3 linked regions of the Xenopus tropicalis genome follow. The protein of the gene in region 3 purifies or fractionates together with the protein of the main gene of each other region. This does not show direct contact. Links are inferred from orthologs where the notes say so. Each region holds a gene or a part of one and is shown on either strand. Other genes may lie near its edges.

What was found.
Region 1: the proteins of c15orf41 (region 3) and asf1b purify together in Homo sapiens (affinity purification with mass spectrometry; 4 studies listed by BioGRID and IntAct, counting the BioPlex papers as one, with this or other methods). This does not show direct contact. The link is inferred for Xenopus tropicalis from reciprocal best matches to the Homo sapiens genes CDIN1 and ASF1B.
Region 2: the proteins of c15orf41 (region 3) and asf1a purify together in Homo sapiens (affinity purification with mass spectrometry; 3 studies listed by BioGRID and IntAct, counting the BioPlex papers as one, with this or other methods). This does not show direct contact. The link is inferred for Xenopus tropicalis from reciprocal best matches to the Homo sapiens genes CDIN1 and ASF1A.

Annotation. Positions count from the first base shown.
Region 1 is NC_030679.2:134,227,291-134,231,363, reverse strand, and holds the start of asf1b (histone chaperone asf1b), read left to right. Parts: upstream 1-1,273; 5' UTR 1,274-1,322; intron 1,323-4,073. UniProt on the Homo sapiens protein: Histone chaperone that facilitates histone deposition and histone exchange and removal during nucleosome assembly and disassembly. Cooperates with chromatin assembly factor 1 (CAF-1) to promote replication-dependent chromatin assembly.
Region 2 is NC_030681.2:73,626,504-73,630,709, forward strand, and holds the start of asf1a (histone chaperone ASF1A), read left to right. Parts: upstream 1-1,406; 5' UTR 1,407-1,734; coding exon 1,735-1,843; intron 1,844-3,231; coding exon 3,232-3,347; intron 3,348-4,206. UniProt on the Homo sapiens protein: Histone chaperone that facilitates histone deposition and histone exchange and removal during nucleosome assembly and disassembly.
Region 3 is NC_030684.2:111,286,254-111,289,753, forward strand, and holds part of c15orf41 (protein C15orf41 homolog), read right to left. Parts: intron 828-3,500; coding exon 632-827; 3' UTR 1-631. UniProt on the Homo sapiens protein: Plays a role in erythroid cell differentiation.

The DNA.
Region 1 (4,073 bases), on a different chromosome or scaffold from region 3:
ATAAAGGCTGAGGCGGTTACATCCGCCTCTAACAGCCATCTTGCGTTCCTTCTATCATTTTGTTGCACAGCAATTCCCAGAATTCCCTACAGAGGCTGGGGGGGGGGGGGTTAAACAAGCCTGATAGAAATATAAAACTTTATAGCGCAGCCTTTGTTTCTGTATGTATGTATATCTTTATAAAGTGCTACTTATGTACGCAGTGCTGTACAGTAGAATACATTAATACAAACAGGGGGTTATTAAGATAATAGATAAATACACAGTATAACAATAAATACAGATAAATACAAGATACAGTTGCAATAAGATAAGAGTCGAGGACACAAGAGGAAGGAGGTCCCTGCCCCGTAGAGCTTACAATCTATATGGGAGGGGTAACTTACAGACACAAATAGGCAAATGTAAGTGCTGTAGGTCACAGTGGGTGACACTTCAATATAAGTGCCAGTTCCCAGTATAAATACATATACTGCCCACACTGCTGAAGCAAGGTTGCCACCTAAGCAGTAAAAATGATGCTTGATGCCAACCTTATTAATAGGGAATATGCACACAAATAAATGAAAGCCTGTATTTTTTTTATCCAGAAAAAATGCTTAAGGTGTAAATAATGGTTTAGTGCAACAAAACAAATATATGGCAGGAAAATGTTTACCAGTAAGTACCCTACTCGGCCGCCCCTAGTCTGTTTCCGGTTCCGTTACACCCCAGCTTCACAAGTGCGTCATGGTATTTATCAGCGCCCCATTACCTACCCCACGCATTCTTACTTCCCGCGCAATACCTGCCTATCCGGAAGTTGCGTCAGCCTAAGCCGGAAGATAATGCCCGACGCGGGAACGAACGTCAAACGGCGCGGGAAGCAAACACCGTGCTCCAATCAAACGTGAGAGCTACTGACAAGCCCCGACCATGTGACCAAAGCTGGTAGAATCAGCGGCCATCTTTAATGCTGGCAACGACTTCGAACGGCTTTTAGACGTAGGAAGCGAATCCGTTTAATGTACTGGTTTGGTAAGGCAGACTCGGCTGTACGTGGGGGAGAGCCATTATACCCCTGTTTACAGGCTTGCATAGATAGGGGGTGATTATGCGTTTCACACTATCCAGAAGCGTCATTGGTTGTTGCTTGACGGTGAGAGGGAGGGGCTTGCGGCTCAGAGGGGGCGGGGCTGGGGGGCGCGTTTGGAGTGAGGTTGTAAGCGAGGCGCGGGAGACAAAACGGAGGGCGGGAAAGAAGGAGCGGGCTGTTTGTGACGGTTGTGTGGGACGGAGCGGTACAGCCGGGCATACCGGGGAAGGAGGAGACGCCACAACAGGTGAGTGCTGTTTCCTTTCTACTCCGGGCTGTCAGCCCACTCTTACTCCCCCCATGCCCACCTTGCTGGTGAACTACAAGTCTCTGTAGAATATTAACTCGGGGGCCACAGGCTGAACTAATAGTCCCTACCTGTGTGTCCATAATCCCCATTTCCCTGTACGTGTTTACTCACAGGGGCGTGGCTAATGTGTGCCTATAACTTATATAGGAATATACTTGTATAGGGAGCCCTCAGTCTTGCACTTGGCCAACATCCGAAAATAGTTTAATGCTCAACATACAAATTGTATCACTAGTTGGCATAAAGGCTTGCACTTTATTTCTGTTAAGCTTCTGTGTGTCTGTGGCTGCTGGGAGTTGTAGTTCAGCCCTGGGGGCTGCCTGATAGGGGTAACTAACTGATAGGGGTAACTAACTGATAGGGATAACTAACTGATAGGGATAACTAACTGATAGGGATAACTAACTGATAGGGATAACTAACTGATAGGGATAACTAACTGATAGGGATACTTAGTTATGGCTTTGTACAGCTCTGCAGTATGTGTTGGTGCTTATAATAACCTGTTACTATTATTATTGTGAGCCTCCTCCTGTAACCGGTTATTGGATGAAAGTCCTGTCTGAGCCCAGTGTGACACCTATATAGAAATAATTGCTACTTCGGTTAACATTGCTTTCATTGGAATGTGAGTAGCATATTTAGGGGATCCCATTGTTAGTATTGGGGCTCATGTTGGCAGTAGCCAAGTTGGGGCCCGTGGGCCAGATCTAAAGCTGGCCATAGACGCACCAATAACATCGTACGAAACCTGGTTTCGTACGAAATTCAGTGCGTTTATGGCAAGTCGGCGAGTCGACCGGTATCGCAGGAAGCTGCTGATATCTGTCGACTCGCCGACCAGCAACGTCAGAAGATTTTGATCGGGGGCCATAGAAGGCGCCTGACCAAAATCTCCCTTCGGCGCTGAATCAGCAGAAGGAGGTAGAAATCCAATTGTTTCTACCTCCTTACCTGCAGTTTCAGCGCTGAAGGTTAGTGGCGGATCTGACAATCTTTCCTGCGACCGATGGTTGCACAAAAGATCGCAGATCGCCACGTGTGTGGCCACCTTAAAGCTGGCCATACACGTGGCGATCTGACGATGTTTCGTTCAACCATCGGTCGCACGAAACATCGTCAGATCCGCCACACACTATTCAGGGCTGAATCGGCAGGTAAGGAGGTAGAAACAATAGGATTTCTACCTCCTTCTGCCGATTCAGAGCTGAAGGGAGATTTTGGTCAGGCGCCATAAAATTTTCAAACTGGTCCGGTCGGCGAGTCGGCCGATATCAGCAGCTTCCTGCGATATCGGTCGACTCGCCGACATACCATACACGCACTGAATATCATACGAAACGAGGTTTCGTACGATATTATCGGTGCGTGTATGGCCACCTTAAGGGATCTATGTGCCCCCCACGCTCCTCCCAAAGGCCCCATTGGCCCTCAGACATGTGCTATAAGAAGTAACTGTCCCACTGCCTGTAGCGAGTTGAATGTGGCTGGTCATTGGGGTCATTTCACAGTATATCGTACCCACAGGGCTTCCCTTTGTTGCTATAATATGCATACACCAGTAACTCTACCTTGTAATGGGGGGGATCTGAACATGTAATGCATGCTGTAATATGATAACAAGGCTTGAGTAGGAGACATCATAGAATTGTCTGTTAACCTGACAGAACAGTGGGAACAGCACTGCCGGCAGCGCAAACAGACGGCTATTGGGCAGCATTAAAACTTCCCGTGCCATTGCTTCCTACTAGAGAAACGCTCAGTTCAGGAGTTGGCCAAATCCAGGCACCTTTTGCAGGATTCAGCTAAATACTTGGGGGAATATTTATCATGCTGTGTAAAAAGTGAAGTGAAGCATTACCGGTGATGTTGCCCAGGGCAACCAATCAGCAATTAGATTTCAACAGTTAGAAAACCAAAGCAAAACATCTGATTGGCTGCTATGAGCAACATCACTGGTAATGTTTCACTCCACTCTTTACACAGCATGATAAATATACCCCTAGGTGTTCATTCAACCCCTTAGTTGTGTGCCTTTAAAGCTTTGGGCAGCTAAGTGTGACATGTGTTTTTAGTTTATGGAAGGTGACGTGGTTTGAATTTTTCCCATATTTTAAATTCGGTGTTCGTCTAAATGCAGAAATGATTGACTCGATGCATGGCAGGATCTCACTGTAATGTGTCTGCGACTGATTCCAAGGAGTGAAGAGGATATTGAGCGGAATAGAGAGGAGTCCCCTGTTGAGCAAACTGGGAAATCCAGCGACTGATTTGTGGGGTGCACAGCCGAGCTTATTTCTAATTGACTTTCAGATATCAGGATGAATGGGGGGGAATAGAGGCTAAGGAAAGGGTTTGTGCAGTGTAAGGGTGAAGACACACAGAGCTACTAGTTGCAGCAACTTGTCGTGGCTACTAAAATAGACAATGCTGATCATTTACTGATAGTCTGTGTGTTAGCAGAGGCAATTCTCAGTATTGTCTATGTCAGGGGATTTTCTGGAGTTTAGTTGCCATTAAAAATAGCTGCTACTAGTAGCTCAGTGTGTCTTCACCCTTACACACACATAGGCTTCTTGTATTTCTGTTAGAGAAGGGCAAGTACAGAGTATAATAAGTGCCAGAAATGCAATTCAGAATGCAGTTTCTCACAGAAAGACTGCCATACCTTTTCACTTAAAGATATAT
Region 2 (4,206 bases), on a different chromosome or scaffold from region 3:
TTTGGTCTTCAGTGAATTATTTAACAGTAGGTCCTTCCAGCAGACACAAAAGCATCCATTTCAATTAAAAGAAGGGACATTATATCTAAATATTCAGAAAGGGTTTTTTCAGCGAGAGATGTGAAGTTGTGAAATTCTCCCTATGAATCAGTCCTTCTGGCAGATACATTAGATAGACATGGTCATTGAAAATAGTTTTAGATGATCCAGGAGGCAAATTAGAGAGGCTTTAGAAGGGTTTTTTTTTTTTTTTGCTTTCCTCTGGATCAACTAGCAATTAGGCAGGTTATATATAGACACAAAAGGTTGAACTTGAAAGAGAAAGAAAAGCAATTTTTAGCATTTTACTGCCAATAGATTTGCCACATTAGTACCACCTAGAACGCTATATTTATTCAGCAGAAAGCTTTACCATACCTGAGTAAAGAGCCCTAGAAGCTCCCTCCGATAGCAGCTGCCATTTTAGCTTGGTCTTGGTAGCTTCCTGCTGCAGTTATAGCCATTGGTAGCGCGAATCACACATTCCTAAGGGTGGGAGTTCTTATGGGAGGGGGAAGCAGAAGGGAGGGGGAGAGGGAGAGTAAAAGAACTGAGCAGACTCATGCCCCAAACCTGAAGGAGCCCTAAAAGAGAGGAAGTCTGATACTGAAGAACATTTTCACAAAAAACAAGCAATCACAAGAAATCCTGTGTTTCTTTTGAAGGACTCAGTGCAGTGTTTCTGTGAGTGCTTATGGCTTACTTAGTTTTTACTTTCCCTTCTCCTTTAATGGATGTGTCTTTTTTCAACCTAATTTACTATGGTTGAACCCTAATTTTATGTTTTCCCAGAATTGGCAGGTTTTTTTGTCCTCCCATACAGGCAAGGTACATTTTATTTTTTATGTTTTCCCAGAAATAGGGGTTCTACCATATAGTCCTATAAGTAACTGCTACATTACTGTCAATTTTTTTTAAATATAAATAAAAGTAAATAAAGAGCAAAAAAAAAACCCCAAAAAAACAAAAATTCTGATTAACAGCTTTTCCCCAGAGGACATTTTGCCAGGGGGGATTCAGAGCCCCAGGTGCAACAGCCTTTAATTGGTTGCATGCATATCCTTATGAGATAAACTCAGCTGATCCCTGAATATCTTAATTTGTACACCAGGGAGATAGAGAAAAACATTTTTTAAAGAAGCGAAGTTTTTGTTGAAAGCCTCAAAGTGCCAAAAGAGGCAAAGCTCACTACTTTTGAACTGTTCAGACGCTAGGAAACACAGATGCAGCAAGACTATTGAGCCTGTCAGTGCGGAGAGATCCTCCCTGAGGTGTGCTCGAGCTGTCAGCCAGCAGGTGGAGCAGCTGCTAAACATTTCCAGCTCCCATGGTCATGAGAAGTCTGTCTTTTTCTGTCGTGTAGCTTTTAGCATTATGGGAAGGGCCAGGGAGCAGCCAATCCGGACACACGCTGTTATAGCAACAGAACAGAATGTGGTGTAGTGAAGTAAGATAGGAGAGCAGGGGAGGGGGGAGAAATAATAAATAAAATAGAGTGGAGTTGCTCACATTGAAAGTAATCAATGGATGAAATAAAAAGAAAACAAACAAACAAATAAGCTGATTTGGAAGAAAGTTTCTCAGGACTGGTGTAAAGAACTGCAAGAAGCAGTGACAGGGGCTCTGCACAGATAAGCACTGCTGGGTCTTGCCTGCACTCTCACACCATCCCCATTGTTTGAGCATTTCCAAAATATGGCAAAGGTTCAGGTGAACAATGTGGTGGTGCTGGATAACCCTTCTCCTTTCTACAATCCTTTCCAGTTCGAAATCACCTTTGAGTGCATAGAGGACCTTTCTGAAGGTGAGTTACAATCAGTTCTTTCTTTTGGCAGTCTGCTAAAGAAGCATCCTAGTGCACAAGAGGTTAAACTGATTCCCACAGGCCTGATGCTTGGCTAAGAAGCAGAGCAGGCGCTGACAGGAATAAAATGCCGGCACATTAACGTAGACAAGCAGGGAAAAAACTTGCGGTTGCACTAGCTGGGAGTGTATGGGAATGCTGCTGCACACACTGGGAAAGTAAGTTTGAAAGGTGCCCTGGTGGCAGGAGCAGCAGCCATGTTTTGTTTGTGGATAGAGAGGGAGGGGGTCGGGTTAATGAGTGTGAAACAGACACAGACAATGCAGGACACGCAATGTGACCTCTGCACTGGGGCTCTTGCAGTGCAAAGACAGCAGATTTTAAATAGCGGTTACTTGTATAATGCTGACCTGCTGCCTGGAGTGAAAAGCAAAAGCTTGTTTTCTATTTTTTTTTTCCTGCAGTTTTTATTATATAAATACATGGGAAAATACAAAAATAAGGATGTTTATTGCATTGTTATGGGGAGAAAAGATGTTTATTCTTCCTTGCATTCATCTTTTTTTATGTCACAGGTGGAATTATAGCCCCTCCCTCATCTCACTGTGTAATGGGCACAAACTCAATAGTAACACAGGGGCATTTAGATGTACATATTCATGGAACTGGGCGCTTGTGTGCGTTAATAATCACTGTCCCAACATAGTAAATAAAAACACACACTGACAATCTGCCTATGAATCTCTTTAAAAATGGTTAACTTGATGGGCAGTTGTCCTTTTTTAACCCAAATTAATGGTAAAATTATGAATATAATAATTTTTCGAATAACAACAAGAAAATGTGTCACCTTAGAAAGATGTCCAGTTCTCCATGATCAAATCTGTCATCCATTTTTCCACTTTCAGAAGAACAATATATTGATACAGCTAGCTGCTGCAATTTTTAAAAATCTGACTAAATTCATTTTCATTAATGTCTGACATTTACTAAAAATGTGAACTGAAAAAGTCAAAAGTTGCCTCACAAGAAAAATTCAGACTCAGAAGACAGAAACAATACATATGCCATCCCACGGTGATAAAAAAAAAAAAAAAAAAACCCCACTATGTTTAGGATGTCATCTAATGAACTTTTTTTTTAGGCTGATGCCACACAGGGCCTGTCGTAAAACAGAGTCCCTATGCTGGCATCAGCCTTCTTCCTTGCCTCTCATTTCAGCAACCCATATCTGCTACAAGTGCCTGCACCTGAACTGACGCAATAGTTTTCCTCAGGCTGAGAATCAGCCCTGTGTGGCATCAGGCTAAGAGACTACTTTTATATTTATAGATAGCTGAAGAGCTAATTTCCCATTCCTTTTCAATTAACATTATACTTTCCACCAGATTTAGAATGGAAAATTATTTACGTGGGCTCTGCTGAAAGTGAAGAATATGACCAGGTTTTAGACTCTGTATTGGTGGGACCTGTACCTGCAGGCCGACATATGTTTGTATTTCAGGTAAGTTGATATTGATTTTATATAAAATATTCTTCTTAGTGAAGAACCATTAAGGGTGGTGGCACACAGGGTGATTAGTCCCCCATGGTTACATTTCAGCTATCGCAGGCAACTAATCTCCCTGAAAAGCCTTTCCTCTGGCAATAAAGTGAATCGCCGGTGGAATGGCATATACTTTACATTCATTTTTACAAAGTTTCCTCCTCCAGAAAACAATTCATACAAATTCTTACAAACTCTGCAATAGTTTGAAAAACAACTGCCAGGTGATGTAATGTTTATTTTGGCCATAAACACACTAATGATATTGTACGAAACCTCGTTTTGAACGATATTCGGTGCGTGTATGGCGGATCGACGAGACAACCGATATAGCAAAGGCTGTGGATATTGGCTGTCTCATCGATCACCCAGGTTAAAAGATTTTGATCGGGTGCCACTGAAGGCGCCCAAACAAAATCTGCGTTCAGGGCTGAATCGGCAGGTGGAGGTAGAATTCCTATTGTTTCTACCTCCACATTCAGCCCTGAACGTTGTGGGGGAAACAAACGATCCTGTGACCATCAGAATTGCTACGTGTATGGCCACAAACAGGGGGACTCACAGAGAGGGGTTCACTCTCAGAGCAGAGAAAGCTGTAACCAAGTGCCAGGAGTCACTGAGAAAGGTCTTTCAGAGTAGGACACAGAGCAAGAATGCTGCCTGCCTGTGTTAGGAACTCCCAGGGGGCTGGGGGTGCTGCCTGCCACTGCAAGGAGCCATGTGTATGAGTGCCAGAACGACAAGGCTTAGTGAGAAGCCAAAGTGTGAGATGGCCGGGATGGTGAGAAGCCCCAGGAAAAGGTTCCAGAGTATGAGA
Region 3 (3,500 bases):
CTGACTTTGCCCAGGTGCAGTAACCCACAGCAACCAACAAACTGTTGGTTAAACAATTAAACAAGGGACCAGTAAATGCTTCCTGCTGATTGGTTGCTATAGGTGATTAGACCAGTAGCAAATGCTGCATCTTTTATTACATATCCCCATTAGTCTGCTATCTACTAGCCGCCTTTAGGGGAGGCAAATAGATAGGGCTGCAAGTGAAGCAGCTGTTGATGGCATTCCTGGCACAAAAGCCCATAACAATGGCAGCAAACTGCCATTATTGTCTTAAAATTTTCTGTTATCTTCACGTCCCGTGTTCACGTTGCAGCATCCTTTCTAAAACAAGCATGTTGCACTAGTTTGAGCTTTAGTTACAGTACAGGGTGATCCGAAGAGCACTGGTTTCCTCTTGGCTAACATGATGGAGTCCCGAGATATAGGAGGGTGCAGCGGAAGGAAGGTCAGTGTGTATGTGCACGGCGCATCTGGAGAAGCTGAGGTGCTGCAGAGAATGCGTAGGTTGGTGCTGTAGCACAGGGCAAGAGGCGGCTGGGAAGGAAGGTAAACAGTTTGTATGAGAAAGCAGTTCTGTGACCTTGCTTTGCAGTTCATTGGGAGTTCAGCAGTTTGGGGCCACATGGAACTATGACTGCGTTTCCTGGTGAGTCTCACTCAAGCGGCTCTTTGTGTGCTGCCCATGTTCAGCATTCTGCGCCATGCAGCTCCCCAGTGTTACCAGGGATTCGGGAAAGCCGTCCTTAAGAAGAATGCCACGTTCACGGTTGCAGTCCAGCTCCTCAATAAATCCATACCAGTATATGACTAGGCCAGGGCCAAACCTGATAGGAAAGGGAGAAAGCAATTAGAAAAGGTATGTAGGGATAATACATGCACGAGCTTACAAATGTATCAGCTGTTTAACATGGGTGAAAAAGATTTTAAGTATTTACTGGGCACAGCAAACCCCTCTCCAACAGAGCTGACACTCAGAGGTCCCAAACTTTTTATCCGTAAACAACAACAGTTAAATATAAAAAACAGTTGGAGAGCAACACAAGCATGAAAAAAGTTCTTACAGGTGACCAATAAGGGCTCTGATTGGCTATTGGGCAGCCCCTATGTGGACTGGCAGCCTGTTTGGCAATTACACTGGGTTTTTATGCAACCAAAACTTGCCTCCATGTCAGAAATACAAAAATAAGCCCCTGCTTTGAGGCCACTGGTTGGGGATCACTGTTATTAGTCAAAACCTGAGGCAGATGGACAATATATGAAATGCCCAAGGTCTGAAGAACTCATTACAAAGTTAATAACACTCACCACAGCCAATGAGCCAACACTGCAAAGGCCTCATACCTTAGATGCCAAGTGCACCTATTTGTTTAGATCAAGTCACAGACATCCCATAATTAACTGTATGCACAGTGAATTTCCCTACATGTTCCTTTATTCTTAATGCATAGACTAAGAATGACCAAAACTGACCAAGAATTTCCATCTCCACCCTCTGCAAGTTGTGAATAGAGTATGTATATGGATCAGGAAAGTCCAGTTTGTAGCTCTCCAACAGCTGGAAGGGTTGCAGGCTGGACATTCCCAGTGTATTTCTTTTCTCTAACTGTCACATAAAGGCAAGCCTGTGTTTCCTGACCTCCCTTTCTCATGGAGAGTTCCCCTCGGCAGACTCAGGAAACAGAGTGCGGAACTATTTGGCCCATGAGGAAGTTCAGAGCTTCATCCTCGGGTTCATAAACAAGTAAGTAATGGCCATCAATCAGAGAGTCGTGCTGCCTATCAGCCTCACCTCACTTGAGCAAACAGTCTGCCGACCCTCTCCCAGGCCCTTCTACACTTATTTCATTTACTTTGCCAGTCAAATTAGGGTCTTGTGCTAAAAATATCTGACTAAAAATGTTTCTTTTGGGGGGTTGTGAAAAAAGGCAAAGACAATTGGATAAGCGCATTAGCGTGGATAAAAATAATGTAGGATAAGGTTTATATTGTGCATGTTATAAAGTTCTACCTACCTACCAACATTTTCAAAGAATGTCTTAATCTCAAGTACATAGTTACTATCATATGAAATGATATCTACGGACACATTATTACTGGCATATTAGGGCAATCATTTTGCACCTACCATACATGGCATGGATATAATAATGGTATTGCTATAATTAAATGTAACATAGGGGGAGCAGACAGAGAGCAACATTCTGTAGGACTAGGACGCTGGTGAAGCAGGAGAAAGCTGATAGTGCCAACCTTCACGATGCTCTTTTGGTCACTTTCTGATGAGGTACCAACAGGGAACCCACTCACTTTAGAGATCAGACAAGCAATTAACAAGGAGGAGTCAAGCAATTAACAGGGAGGAGTCGAAAACCAGGAAAACACAAAGTAACAGGCTTAGGCAGGATAGAGCTGAGACCAGAAGTCAGTCAGGGCACAGTATAATGGCAGAAAACAGGATTCAGAGGCCAACAGAGGGGACATACCTGTACATAACTGACAAGTCTAACAACCAATAGGAATTTCCCCGACATCAAAATAGAGCTAAGAGCATCATTACACTAGCTGCAGCGCACTAAGCATGCCCATGGGGTCTTCCTGCACACCACCATGTTATTGCTCAAACAGAACTATGTGGAATAATGCCTAGAACTTACCAAATGTTGGGAAGATGTTTTGTAGTCGTATCAGACCAACACTGTGTTTTTTTGACCAAAGTTCAAAGCAAACAACCCACCATACTATCAGTGAAGTACAGGGGTAGAAGCATTCTAATAAGTGACTGCTGGTCATCAGCAGGGACTCGGCATCTGTTACACGAAAGGGAGCAAATTGCAGGGAAATACCGCTAAAACTAACTGAAGCTTGTCTAATGGGTCATTCTCTCAGGAGAGCTCCACCCACAAACTCCACCAACAAAGATTTTCTAGGGGAAGCTCCCCTTTAGGGAGAATAGGCACCATCTATTTTTTTTTTTGCTACCCATACAATGTCCCCTGTATTTAAACAGCACTATTCTCGTAATACAGTTACTACTGGATATACAGCAATTAGGGCAGCCATGTTTGGGACACCAAGAAAATAAGGTATGGTCCAAGGCCGTAAAGAGTCGCCACAGACCAAATCAGGCTTCCCAGCTTGGGATCCATTGTCCAGAGCTGATCACTTTAGGCCTCCCCATAGATGAAAACAAAGCTAAAGATAATCAAAATGTCATTACACAGGAATATAAATGAATAGTCACCAATAAACCTCATACCTTGAGACCTCCATCTCTCTTTCTTTCTTTCTTTCTTTCTCTAGGGACCAGTCCCACCAGTGCAATCGAAATCTTAAAGTTATATATATAAATCACAATCAAGCTGAAGTGAAATCAGTTTCACAAAAGAAAAGAATCATTCGTTTGATTATATGTCTTGGGGCACTTGCGGTCTACCCACAATAGGAGCCACCATTCTCAGCCTACTGATACATTACAAAGGGCCATTCAAGTTTCAAGT